Linked DNA regions of Saccharomyces cerevisiae S288C. The gene in region 1 interacts genetically with each later gene. Each region holds a gene or a part of one and is shown in the gene's direction. Other genes may lie near its edges.

Region 1 (8,645 bases):
TTCATTTCATTGATACATTGCCCACAGAAAAAGAAAAAAAAGAAGCGCATGATAGAATAGAATTAGTTGAGGCAAAAGCCATGAAGGAGATGCAACCGCAGCCTGGTCTGGTTGACATAATGAGGTATTTGACGAAAAATGGTATTAGCAAGAACATATGTACTAGAAATGTCGGAGCCCCGGTAGAGACTTTTGTTAAAAGATTTATTCCATCCGAGCTTTCGAGGTTTGACTATATTGTGACAAGGGAGTTTAGGCCTACAAAACCGCAACCAGACCCATTATTACACATCGCCTCGAAGCTAAATATAAGGCCCTTGGAAATGATCATGGTAGGAGATTCATTTGACGACATGAAATCCGGTAGATCTGCTGGATGTTTCACGGTATTACTCAAGAATCATGTGAATGGACATTTACTGCTCGAACATAAAGAACTAGTAGACGTTTCAGTAGAGGATCTTTCCGAAATAATTGAATTGATTCAAAATATGAATAAAGAAAGTTTCTAAAAAAAAAAAAACTTTACTTAGATATGTACATATGATTGAAATACCATTTTATTCTTAGATGTTTTTTAGAGCTAATATAGTAGCTATGGCGGAATTACCTTGATTTTTTCGGCATCACAAAGTTCGAGAACACATCAAATCAGCAAAAAAATCTCCGCGACGGGGAATTGAACCCCGATCTGGCACGCGACAAGCGCCCATTCTGACCATTAAACTATCACGGATTTTAATTGTTGGGTTAACGGTGTTTTTATTAATACTTGTTTCATATGATTTGAAAAAATAAAAAAATGTTGCAGCAAGTGATCATTAATGTCAATATAAATAATGATGGTAGCAAGATGAGTGTTTACGTTAATGTACATTTCATATACTGAGAAATAGGTGAATTTTCGGGATAATCGTTAGGATTTCATTATTGTTAAGGGCTATAATTTAGGTATATCGAATATACGAGAAGTTCTGCACGATGATATAGGGATCCATAAAGGGAACCAATATTTCTACGTACCTGTTACTTCTCCCTCCATTTTATATTTTTCATCATTTTATGACGTTATCAAATCCTTGCATTTCAGTTGCCATTATACTTTACCATTGTTTTTCGATTTTATGTCATCTTCTTACACCGTATGACAATATACCAGTAGTATGAATATCAGTCGATGAGTGAGTTGATTTTTATTCGAACATACACGTTTTAACGTGAATGTACTAAACTGCTAACTGAGCATTTCGGACAGTGCTGAAAATAAGTTAAAGATCTACGCTTTGGTAGTTATGTATACGAGTCATACAATTCGTCACATTAAATGTATAGTATCAAAGACAGTATTATCCACACTTAATCTTCATTAATACTTATCAACAAAAATGAAGCACTCATCTGACTATATTTATATAATATTGCCGACCAAAATCCTTGTGTTTAATTCCAAGTGATTTAGCACCAATCCTATTCCATCCATGCAGGTGCTGTTGCTGCTGGATCCGTGTTTTTGACCAGTCTTAATGAAGCACAACAGCAGCCTACCCTTTTTGTGGACCATATTAATGGATACAATGAGTACTTAGCACGAAGAAAGCGTAGCATTGTAGTTTCATCGTTGCAACTTAGTCCTAGTACGTTCCAGTTCTGCATCGTGACTCACCTTGAGCTCGAAAAATGTGACATATACGTTTTCCGCTGTGGCCGCTGTGGCCGCAGCGTCAAGAATCGCCAATGATAAGTTCTCTGCTCCTGGCGTCGATAGATTCAGAAAAGTGTGAAATTATCGAAGCACGGGTATAGTTAATTGTTAAAGCGTAGATGCTTTGTCGTAGAAACTTTTCTTTAACCTATAGGGAACTCAAATTCTGGAAGGTCAACGTATAATGGAGGACAGTAAAAAGAAAGGATTAATAGAAGGCGCTATACTCGATATAATAAACGGTTCCATTGCAGGCGCCTGTGGTAAGGTGATCGAGTTTCCTTTCGATACTGTGAAAGTCAGGTTGCAAACACAAGCATCCAACGTGTTCCCAACAACATGGTCTTGTATAAAATTTACTTACCAAAATGAAGGAATAGCACGAGGGTTTTTTCAAGGCATTGCTTCACCTTTAGTTGGAGCATGTCTGGAGAACGCGACATTATTTGTGTCTTATAACCAATGTTCTAAATTTTTAGAAAAACATACAAACGTTTCCCCGTTGGGGCAAATCCTGATCTCTGGTGGAGTAGCGGGTTCATGTGCTAGTTTAGTTTTGACACCCGTGGAGCTGGTGAAGTGTAAGTTGCAGGTTGCGAACTTACAAGTTGCATCAGCTAAAACGAAACATACAAAGGTGTTGCCTACAATAAAAGCAATTATAACTGAGAGAGGATTGGCAGGATTGTGGCAAGGGCAATCGGGCACTTTTATTCGAGAAAGCTTCGGTGGTGTTGCCTGGTTTGCAACCTACGAAATAGTTAAGAAGTCGTTGAAAGATAGGCACTCCCTTGATGACCCAAAAAGAGATGAAAGTAAGATATGGGAACTACTTATTAGTGGAGGGAGCGCTGGATTGGCATTCAACGCCAGTATTTTTCCTGCGGATACTGTGAAATCAGTAATGCAAACTGAACATATAAGCCTCACCAATGCGGTGAAGAAGATATTTGGCAAATTTGGACTAAAGGGTTTTTATCGAGGACTGGGTATAACCCTTTTTAGGGCAGTACCAGCAAACGCTGCAGTTTTTTACATCTTTGAGACTCTTTCTGCACTTTAAATACAATAAATCGTGTAATAAGCAAGTATGTAACATTGATAGACAGTCTGTAATACCATTTACTGATCAAGAATGTCGCACAATCTCAACAGCCAGGCTTTGTGTTAGTATTTTGTGTTTTTTACAACAACCTCTCGACTATTGTATACCAGTTTCTTGCATAGATGCTACTATTCTCTGACAGTAAATTATCTAGTCAGGACTTCGGATTTAACTAAATGCAAAAAAAAAAATGATTCGAATGTAAACAAAAAAAACTGTCTAGGTAGCAATGGTTCTTCTATAAAAGTGCAAGCTCTATAAAATCAAGATCAAGCATAGTACCGCCCACTGTTAGAGTCTTTGGTACGCAAACATTTTTGGCTACCGGATGTTGCGAAGAGAACTAAATAACTCTATCAGCAACAGGTCGATAGAAAATGAATCCTTTCCTTTTGAAAGGCCGAATGTCAGCTATATAATATCCGCAGAATTTGATAATAAATTAGGTCCTATTTTGAAGCACCAATACCCGAAAGATATTCCAGGTTTCAATCAGTTCTCACATGAGCAACGCAACGGCAATACGTCGGTGTCTATGAACTTGGCAAGTTTAATGATACCGAGTAGCATAGAGAGAAATCCCGGCAAACAAGATATTACAGTGTTTACCCTTTATTACAATAAGTTTACTCAAAACTATCAACTCTTTCCTGTGCCAAAAGACCCTCGTTTCAGTTTCAATCTGCATCATCGTGAACAGTCAGATGGTAGTGTTACCAATAGCATATATTACGATGCCGAAAATCATCAAGATGCAAAAAATAATAGATACACTATTGTCTTGGAAGATGATGAGCTCGAATGCCAGGAAGTTCAGAATAATCAGAAAGCCATCGACAACGAACCTTTATTTTTCATAAATGTCGCCAACACAGTATTAGACACCACGAACGATAGAGGGGCAGTAATCAAGTCGATTGCCATCGGAACACCATTAAAAACCTTCTTTGCATTCAAAAATATTATTGTATTAGTGTTAGACTTGTATATGAAAGCTCCCACTCAAGCTGCTGCTACAGACATACTGCTTGATTGCTTTAATATGCTAAACAGTATTGACCTTACATTGATTAATGACATACATTCCAAAAGTAGTATACAAGAAGTGCTACACTCTATCCATGACGAATCTATCATTACCAAAGTATTTTTAGACCCGGATTCCACTTTAAAGAAACTCTTTTGCATCAATGGATTTGACACTAAGGACAAGTATGGTAACATTGTGACTTTTCATGACCAACTCATTCAATATCATTTTACAAGATTTCAGCCAAAGACGCTCCCGCCATTTTTGTTAAAAATCCCATTGCAATTTAATATGATTAGAAGAGAGCCTATTTATATTGAAAATGATTATAATGAACTAGTTTTAAAATTTTTGGATAAATTTGTCCCTTACCTTCTTAAAGCCGGACAAAAAGTTAATGCATGGAAGTTAGTCATCAATTCAACTAAACTGAGTAAAGAAGACCTATGCGCTTTTATTTTGTCATTAGCCAACATAACGGCAACTTATGCTAGCGATCCACAATCATACTTCAAAGGAAATGCTGCGTTGATTTTTCCCTATATGGACATTTCTCTTGTTGACGGTTTGCGGGCGTATGTAGCATCGAATAGTGATTTTGTCGGATGCTTTGCAATTATCGGAACTGCCAATCCAATTTTCCGATACCAGTTAGATATCTGGGATTATTACTACGATGTGGATGAGGGAGTGTTTTATGAAAATAATAGTCCAGAAAAAGAAAAGCCAGATACAGTGGCAGAAGTGAAGATTGGGCCTAACCCTTTGAGAAAGATATTCAATAGGCCTCATTTCTCAACCAACGCAGTCAACGAAAGTCAGGTAAACTTGGGCCAGAAGCTCTTTTCTCTTCTTATCGACGAATATCATGATAGTGATACTATCATGAGCGTTTTGAGAAGGCTGAATGTTCTTCAGTTGGAAAACCTTCTGGACGCTTTGAAAAGACGAGAAATTCCACCTAATATAGCACTAAAAGATGAATATATCATGTTTTATAAAGATTTTTTCATTTTCCCGGAGTTCTTTGATTATTTTACACTGCATAGTATTGAACTATTGTCTAACTTGGATAATTGTTTATTTAGCTTAGGAAACACATGCCAGTTATTTTCCACAGAGCAAATATATTCCCAATTAAGCCAAATATTGGACATTGTTAAAGAGCTGTTTCGCATGGTATCGGTAAGCAGGACAAACATTGAGAAGTTTTTAAACGCTTGTTTGAACTATTCTCCGTTCAAAATATTACCCACAGCTCAGTTACACGGTGATAATATTTCTAGGTGGAGTTTTGAAAGCGAAGTGCGTCAGGGTTTCGATAATTTTAACAGCTATATGGGCATCGAAAAAGATCCCCACGGTGTTATAGTATCAGCAATAGATCTTTTTACTCAAATTTACAGTTTTGATATCTTGGCGTTTTTCCTCACATTTATTACAAAAGAAAGTGGGCAGGATTTGCCCTTCACAAAATCTCTGTCCAGGAGAAGAACGTATTTGACCAGAATTGCTCAATCTTCTTCATTGAGACAGTTTTTACAACTGAGTACACGCCCTAATATAAGGATTCTGGGAGGTAATGGGCAGGGTACTGGAAATTCCAATTATCCCGAATTTACAAACGCATCCTCAGTCATCTCACCCAAGCTAAGGGCTTCTCCTCTACTAGAAAGAAGGGCGTCAAAAATCTGCTATGCTATTACGAAATTACTCTATAGGTTAGAATGTCATCCCATAGGTATGGCCCTTTTAAAGAAGTATCTCCACAATCAATTGCGAGAAGCCTATCTAGAATCAAAACGACACTTTATTTCCAAAAAGGGAGATTCGACCAACACTTCCTCTACCATTGCATCATCATCTTTCGCTGGCGCATCTGTTCCTCTATCTTCAAACGAATCAGGAATGCTAAACGGCTTGAAGCAAATTAACGAACAACAAGAATCTACATTAGAAACCACTCAAAAGGAAGACTAGTAACGCCGTATCGTGATTAACGTATTACATAAGTTACAGGATTCATGCTTATGGGTTAGCTATTTCGCCCAATGTGTCCATCTGACATTACTATTTTGCATTTTAATTTAATTAGAACTTGACTAGCGCACTACCAGTATATCATCTCATTTCCGTAAATACCAAATGTATTATATATTGAAAGCTTTTGACCAGGTTATTATAAAAGAAACTTCATGCTCGAAAAAGATCATTTCGAAAAGTTGCCTAGTTTCATGAAATTTTAAAGCAGTTTATATAAATTTTACCTTTTGATGCGGAATTGACTTTTTCTTGAATAATACATAACTTTTCTTAAAAGAATCAAAGACAGATAAAATTTAAGAGATATTAAATATTAGTGAGAAGCCGAGAATTTTGTAACACCAACATAACACTGACATCTTTAACAACTTTTAATTATGATACATTTCTTACGTCATGATTGATTATTACAGCTATGCTGACAAATGACTCTTGTTGCATGGCTACGAACCGGGTAATACTAAGTGATTGACTCTTGCTGACCTTTTATTAAGAACTAAATGGACAATATTATGGAGCATTTCATGTATAAATTGGTGCGTAAAATCGTTGGATCTCTCTTCTAAGTACATCCTACTATAACAATCAAGAAAAACAAGAAAATCGGACAAAACAATCAAGTATGGATTCTAGAACAGTTGGTATATTAGGAGGGGGACAATTGGGACGTATGATTGTTGAGGCAGCAAACAGGCTCAACATTAAGACGGTAATACTAGATGCTGAAAATTCTCCTGCCAAACAAATAAGCAACTCCAATGACCACGTTAATGGCTCCTTTTCCAATCCTCTTGATATCGAAAAACTAGCTGAAAAATGTGATGTGCTAACGATTGAGATTGAGCATGTTGATGTTCCTACACTAAAGAATCTTCAAGTAAAACATCCCAAATTAAAAATTTACCCTTCTCCAGAAACAATCAGATTGATACAAGACAAATATATTCAAAAAGAGCATTTAATCAAAAATGGTATAGCAGTTACCCAAAGTGTTCCTGTGGAACAAGCCAGTGAGACGTCCCTATTGAATGTTGGAAGAGATTTGGGTTTTCCATTCGTCTTGAAGTCGAGGACTTTGGCATACGATGGAAGAGGTAACTTCGTTGTAAAGAATAAGGAAATGATTCCGGAAGCTTTGGAAGTACTGAAGGATCGTCCTTTGTACGCCGAAAAATGGGCACCATTTACTAAAGAATTAGCAGTCATGATTGTGAGATCTGTTAACGGTTTAGTGTTTTCTTACCCAATTGTAGAGACTATCCACAAGGACAATATTTGTGACTTATGTTATGCGCCTGCTAGAGTTCCGGACTCCGTTCAACTTAAGGCGAAGTTGTTGGCAGAAAATGCAATCAAATCTTTTCCCGGTTGTGGTATATTTGGTGTGGAAATGTTCTATTTAGAAACAGGGGAATTGCTTATTAACGAAATTGCCCCAAGGCCTCACAACTCTGGACATTATACCATTGATGCTTGCGTCACTTCTCAATTTGAAGCTCATTTGAGATCAATATTGGATTTGCCAATGCCAAAGAATTTCACATCTTTCTCCACCATTACAACGAACGCCATTATGCTAAATGTTCTTGGAGACAAACATACAAAAGATAAAGAGCTAGAAACTTGCGAAAGAGCATTGGCGACTCCAGGTTCCTCAGTGTACTTATATGGAAAAGAGTCTAGACCTAACAGAAAAGTAGGTCACATAAATATTATTGCCTCCAGTATGGCGGAATGTGAACAAAGGCTGAACTACATTACAGGTAGAACTGATATTCCAATCAAAATCTCTGTCGCTCAAAAGTTGGACTTGGAAGCAATGGTCAAACCATTGGTTGGAATCATCATGGGATCAGACTCTGACTTGCCGGTAATGTCTGCCGCATGTGCGGTTTTAAAAGATTTTGGCGTTCCATTTGAAGTGACAATAGTCTCTGCTCATAGAACTCCACATAGGATGTCAGCATATGCTATTTCCGCAAGCAAGCGTGGAATTAAAACAATTATCGCTGGAGCTGGTGGGGCTGCTCACTTGCCAGGTATGGTGGCTGCAATGACACCACTTCCTGTCATCGGTGTGCCCGTAAAAGGTTCTTGTCTAGATGGAGTAGATTCTTTACATTCAATTGTGCAAATGCCTAGAGGTGTTCCAGTAGCTACCGTCGCTATTAATAATAGTACGAACGCTGCGCTGTTGGCTGTCAGACTGCTTGGCGCTTATGATTCAAGTTATACAACGAAAATGGAACAGTTTTTATTAAAGCAAGAAGAAGAAGTTCTTGTCAAAGCACAAAAGTTAGAAACTGTCGGTTACGAAGCTTATCTAGAAAACAAGTAATATATAAGTTTATTGATATACTTGTACAGCAAATAATTATAAAATGATATACCTATTTTTTAGGCTTTGTTATGATTACATCAAATGTGGACTTCATACATAGAAATCAACGCTTACAGGTGTCCTTTTTTAAGAATTTCATACATAAGATCACTTATTATACATACATACATATCCAGTAACAAGAAGCAAGGAATAATTACCTGCTTAAGTCTGCGATTAAAAAAATAACGTTTCGATACAGTTCATATAAGGCGGCTCAATGCAGAACCGAGGATAGCGCTACGTCAGGATATCTTTGTAGTTCCCAAATATAAATGCGACAATATAGTTTCTTTCTTTCATATCAATAATATCCTTTTCTCCACTGAAATCACGAATCAAACCTGGAGCAAAAACTAAAGCCAAATTATAAAGCGTCATTCGA
Region 2 (4,149 bases), on another chromosome or scaffold:
TGTTGACGTTCCAAATAAGGGTAATAAGACATATCATCCATTTGCTGGTTACATTTCCAACGTATTACATGGTATGCATACTAGCGACTCGGACAATGATGAACTAGACTACGAAATAGAAACAGAGAATAATAGTGAACCTTTATACGAATCCTCAGCAAGTTCTGAGGTTGATCAAGGGTTTAATTATGTTGGCCAACGTCACAATTCCCGAGCTGACAACAATCTTTTACCAAGCCCTAGTCCGCAGTTGACAGAAGATATAAAATGTCTTTCAATAAATGGTACCAAAACATTCGAAGGCAATAATGATAATCTGCCATCTCCTGCTAGCGAAGAGTTAGAATTTGGATTCAAAGAAGAAGATTTTGTCATAAATACTAATGACATAGTGGTCTCCAATATAAGAATGGGCGGAGTAGACAATTCATATTATCTACGGTGTTACAGATTACTGGGAGATTACGACTTTCATTGGATTGACCAGGACTTACTCACAGACTTCGTTGTAGACGAGTTAGGTCTTCCTGAAGATAGATTACCTGCATATTTGAATTTTATTAAAAATTCTCTTATACCAAAAATTGAACCAGCTGAGCCAACCTACTCAGATATTCCGATTTCTGATTCGAGTGATGAAGGTGACAGCTATGAAGGCGACAGCTATGAAGATGATGAAGATATGGCCTCCTCGGTTGTGCATAGCGACATTGAAGAGGGTCTGGACGACCTAATTGCATACACATTGAAACATGATACAGAAAGATTCAAAACATTTGAAACCAAGTCCTTGGAAACTAAGGGTAAAGGTAAGAAGAAGAAGCTACTCATCGATGACGCCTTAGCGCTGGATACAGAAACGTTGGAGACGTTACAAAGTAAGTTTAGTAAACGCATAGAAACCAAAGCAAAGAAAAGAAAAGCCAAAGAAGATTTCATTGATCAGGAGAATAGAAATTCGAACGATATGCTCAAGAAATACCCATATGGACTCCATATTCAAAATATTAAAGATGAATTTGAGTCCTTTTTGTCTAGGAACAATGATAGACTGACTTTCCCTCCATTAGATCCTCATGGAAACAAGACCGTAATGAAAATTGCGAAGCATTATAATATGAAGAGTTCAAAAATTGGGAAAGCAAATCATACGTCGGTTGTTGTAGAAAAAATAAAGAAAACGAAATGGTCTTCTCCGAATTATAGTCTCATTGACCAATTGATGAGGCAGAGGCCAGTATTCATGAGAATAGATATAAGAAGACCGAGGGAGGAACAAGCTGCTTTCGAAAGAACTAAAACAATCAGAGGGAAATTTCATGTTAAAGAAGGTGAGATTGTTGGTCAAAACGCTCCAGAGATTGGAAACGAAAATATCGGTAGAAGAATGTTGGAAAAGCTTGGGTGGAAAAGTGGAGAGGGCCTTGGTATTCAAGGCAATAAAGGTATAAGTGAACCAATTTTTGCCAAAATTAAAAAGAATAGATCGGGTTTAAGACACAGTGAAAGTTAATATTTTCCAAGCTTTTAATCCTCATTTTCTTAACAATTGCGTATATACATATTTTTTTATTTTCTAGACTAGACCATGAAAAATCTATGGTAATATACACATACGGAGTTTTAGGTACAACTTCTCGTTACATATCCAATTCAATTATCGTAACTGTAAATAACATCTTCTTGTGAAAATTCGCGTTGCGCGACGTGAGGCGTTAGGCAATTTTTTGTGGAACGTTTATAGTAATAAAACAACTAATAACGTTAACGTTCCTCGGGAAGAAATCTACACATACAAAAAATAATCACTAGTAAATAGTGACAGGTCTTTTGTACATCATGACTGATTTCGATTTAATGAATTTTCCATTTCATGAGCGTTTGGATTCTCCTGTATCAGAGAATGGGGAAATTAAAGACGGAGAGCCAATCCCACAAAACTGGCTAAATGAAAATCATGTCGGAAAATCCATCTTACCTTTATTCGTTAACCCTGAAGATGTCATCAATTGCAACTTTTCCAATGCTAGAGACTCATATGAAGAGAACAAATCACCATCTATGGATCAAATGAATTATGCTAGAAATACTAGTTATCAGGAATCTCCAGGATTACAAGAACGACCAAAAAACGAAAAAGATAAGTCTCCCATAGGTACTGATGTTCATAAAAAGGATGTACCCAATTTCATACACTCTACTCCTAGAGAAAACTCTTCGAAGCATTTTACGAGGGCAAATGAACAGGCTTCTGCTCAACCAACTGATGAACATACATCGCCAGATATCTCGATAGAAGACTGTAACGGTGCCAAAATTTTTCTACAAAACTCCTTATCGAAAGAGGATTTTCGAATGTTAGAAAATGTGATACTGGGGTATCAAAAAAAAGTTATTGAATTGGGTAGAGATAATCTAAGACAAGAGGAAAGAGCAAACTCTTTACAAAAGGAGCTCGAAGCAGCTACGAAGTCAAACGACAAAACCTTAGATAACAAAAAAAAAATTGAAGAACAGACAGTATTGATTGAAAACCTAACAAAGGACCTTTCGCTGAATAAAGAAATGTTGGAAAAAGCCAATGATACTATTCAGACAAAACACACTGCATTACTAAGTCTCACTGACTCCTTAAGAAAGGCCGAGCTGTTTGAAATACCGATTGGTATATTGTTTTTCGATTTGTATGACTCGGAGGAAAATTCTTCAAAATTAGATCACATATTACAAGAAAAATATCCTAATATTAAAGGGTTTTTATGTGCATCACAGCAAGAAGAGCTGAGCCGCATTTCTCAGCGATTTAAAAATGCAAAAGCAGAAGCTGAGGATCTCCGAAATGAGTTAGAGAATAAAAAAATTGAAATCCAGACCATGAGAGAAAAAAATAATACTTTAATTGGTACAAATAAAACCCTTTCCAAACAGAACAAAATACTATGTGATAAATTTGACAAGTTGACAATCGATGAGAAGGAAATTTTGAAAGGATGTAATGAGGAAATAAAAATTAAGCTGGAAAGGTTGAATGAAAGACTAGGATCATGGGAAAAAAGCAAAGAAAAATACGAAACATCATTGAAGGATAAAGAAAAAATGCTAGCAGATGCTGAAAAGAAAACAAACACTCTATCAAAGGAACTGGATAATTTGAGGTCGCGATTTGGAAACTTAGAGGGAAATACTTCTGAAAGGATTACAATAAAAAATATCTTACAGTCAAGGCCCGATATTTCGGCAGAAGAATGTAATTTCCTTATGGTTGAACAAATTGATTCAGCAAATTTGACGACTTTACAAAATACTGTCAAAGAAATTGTTTTGGCTGTTGGTATTCCTTATCCAAAGTTAAGGCGAAAGATTCCGTTGCTGGCTATCAAATTGAAATATGAAAACATCATGCTGTCCAATTTTGCTCAACGTCTGCATAGACAAGTATATAGTCAAGAAATGAATCTAAAGAAATTTACGGATCAAGCATACTATGATTTTATGTCAACGCGCAGGATGGATTCCATAGATCACCATTTGGAGAGGTGTCTGGACCATCTGTATGATCATATCCTGGAGAAGATGGTGAAGTAATTTTTATTAACGGAGTCAATAGATAAATTGTTGTAATTGTAACTAAAAATTAAGGTATAAGATTAAATTATATTCTAGGAAGTATGTATAAAATATTCATTTGTTGTAAAATTGGAGGGCTTAAGCGGCCAACATTTTATGTTTACACTTTTTCTTGTTTTAAGAATAGAAAAAAAATATACGTGAAAAAAATTTGAAGTCATCGCAAAGTAGCTCTTTTTACATAGTAAAAGTCTGACCAGCCAAGAGTTAATATCAGTATAGTGATATCCTACTACTTCAAAAATAACGGATGAAGACCTGCTACTATGAGCTTTTAGGGGTCGAAACGCATGCTTCTGATCTTGAGTTAAAAAAAGCTTACCGTAAAAAGGCCCTACAATATCACCCAGATAAAAACCCAGATAATGTTGAAGAAGCCACACAAAAATTTGCTGTGATTCGAGCCGCTTATGAAGTACTGTCTGACCCCCAGGAAAGAGCATGGTATGACTCACATAAGGAACAAATTTTAAATGATACTCCACCAAGCACTGATGATTACTATGATTATGAGGTAGACGC

What was found. Genes that interact genetically often act in the same process or in processes that back each other up.
Region 2: of AFI1 (region 1) and CNM67, a mutation in one rescues a mutant of the other (synthetic rescue), as found in Saccharomyces cerevisiae (one study listed by BioGRID).

The regions. Positions count from the first base shown.
Region 1 is NC_001147.6:564,049-572,693, reverse strand, and holds AFI1 (Afi1p), read left to right. Parts: upstream 1-3,135; coding exon 3,136-5,817; downstream 5,818-8,645. Other genes in the region: YOR131C (putative haloacid dehalogenase-like hydrolase), read left to right, coding at 1-512; ORT1 (Ort1p), read left to right, coding at 1,887-2,765; phosphoribosylaminoimidazole carboxylase ADE2, read left to right, coding at 6,503-8,218; GTPase-activating protein RGA1, read right to left, coding at 8,501-8,645. UniProt on the Saccharomyces cerevisiae protein: Involved in actin patch polarization. Required for maintaining a proper budding pattern in yeast cells. Required for proper polarized localization of the ADP-ribosylation factor ARF3 at the plasma membrane.
Region 2 is NC_001146.8:222,160-226,308, reverse strand, and holds CNM67 (Cnm67p), read left to right. Parts: upstream 1-1,839; coding exon 1,840-3,585; downstream 3,586-4,149. Other genes in the region: SQS1 (Sqs1p), read left to right, coding at 1-1,513; JJJ1 (Jjj1p), read left to right, coding at 3,878-4,149. UniProt on the Saccharomyces cerevisiae protein: Involved in the pathway that organizes the shaping and sizing of the prospore membrane (PSM) during sporulation. Required for the proper formation of the spindle pole body (SPB) outer plaque.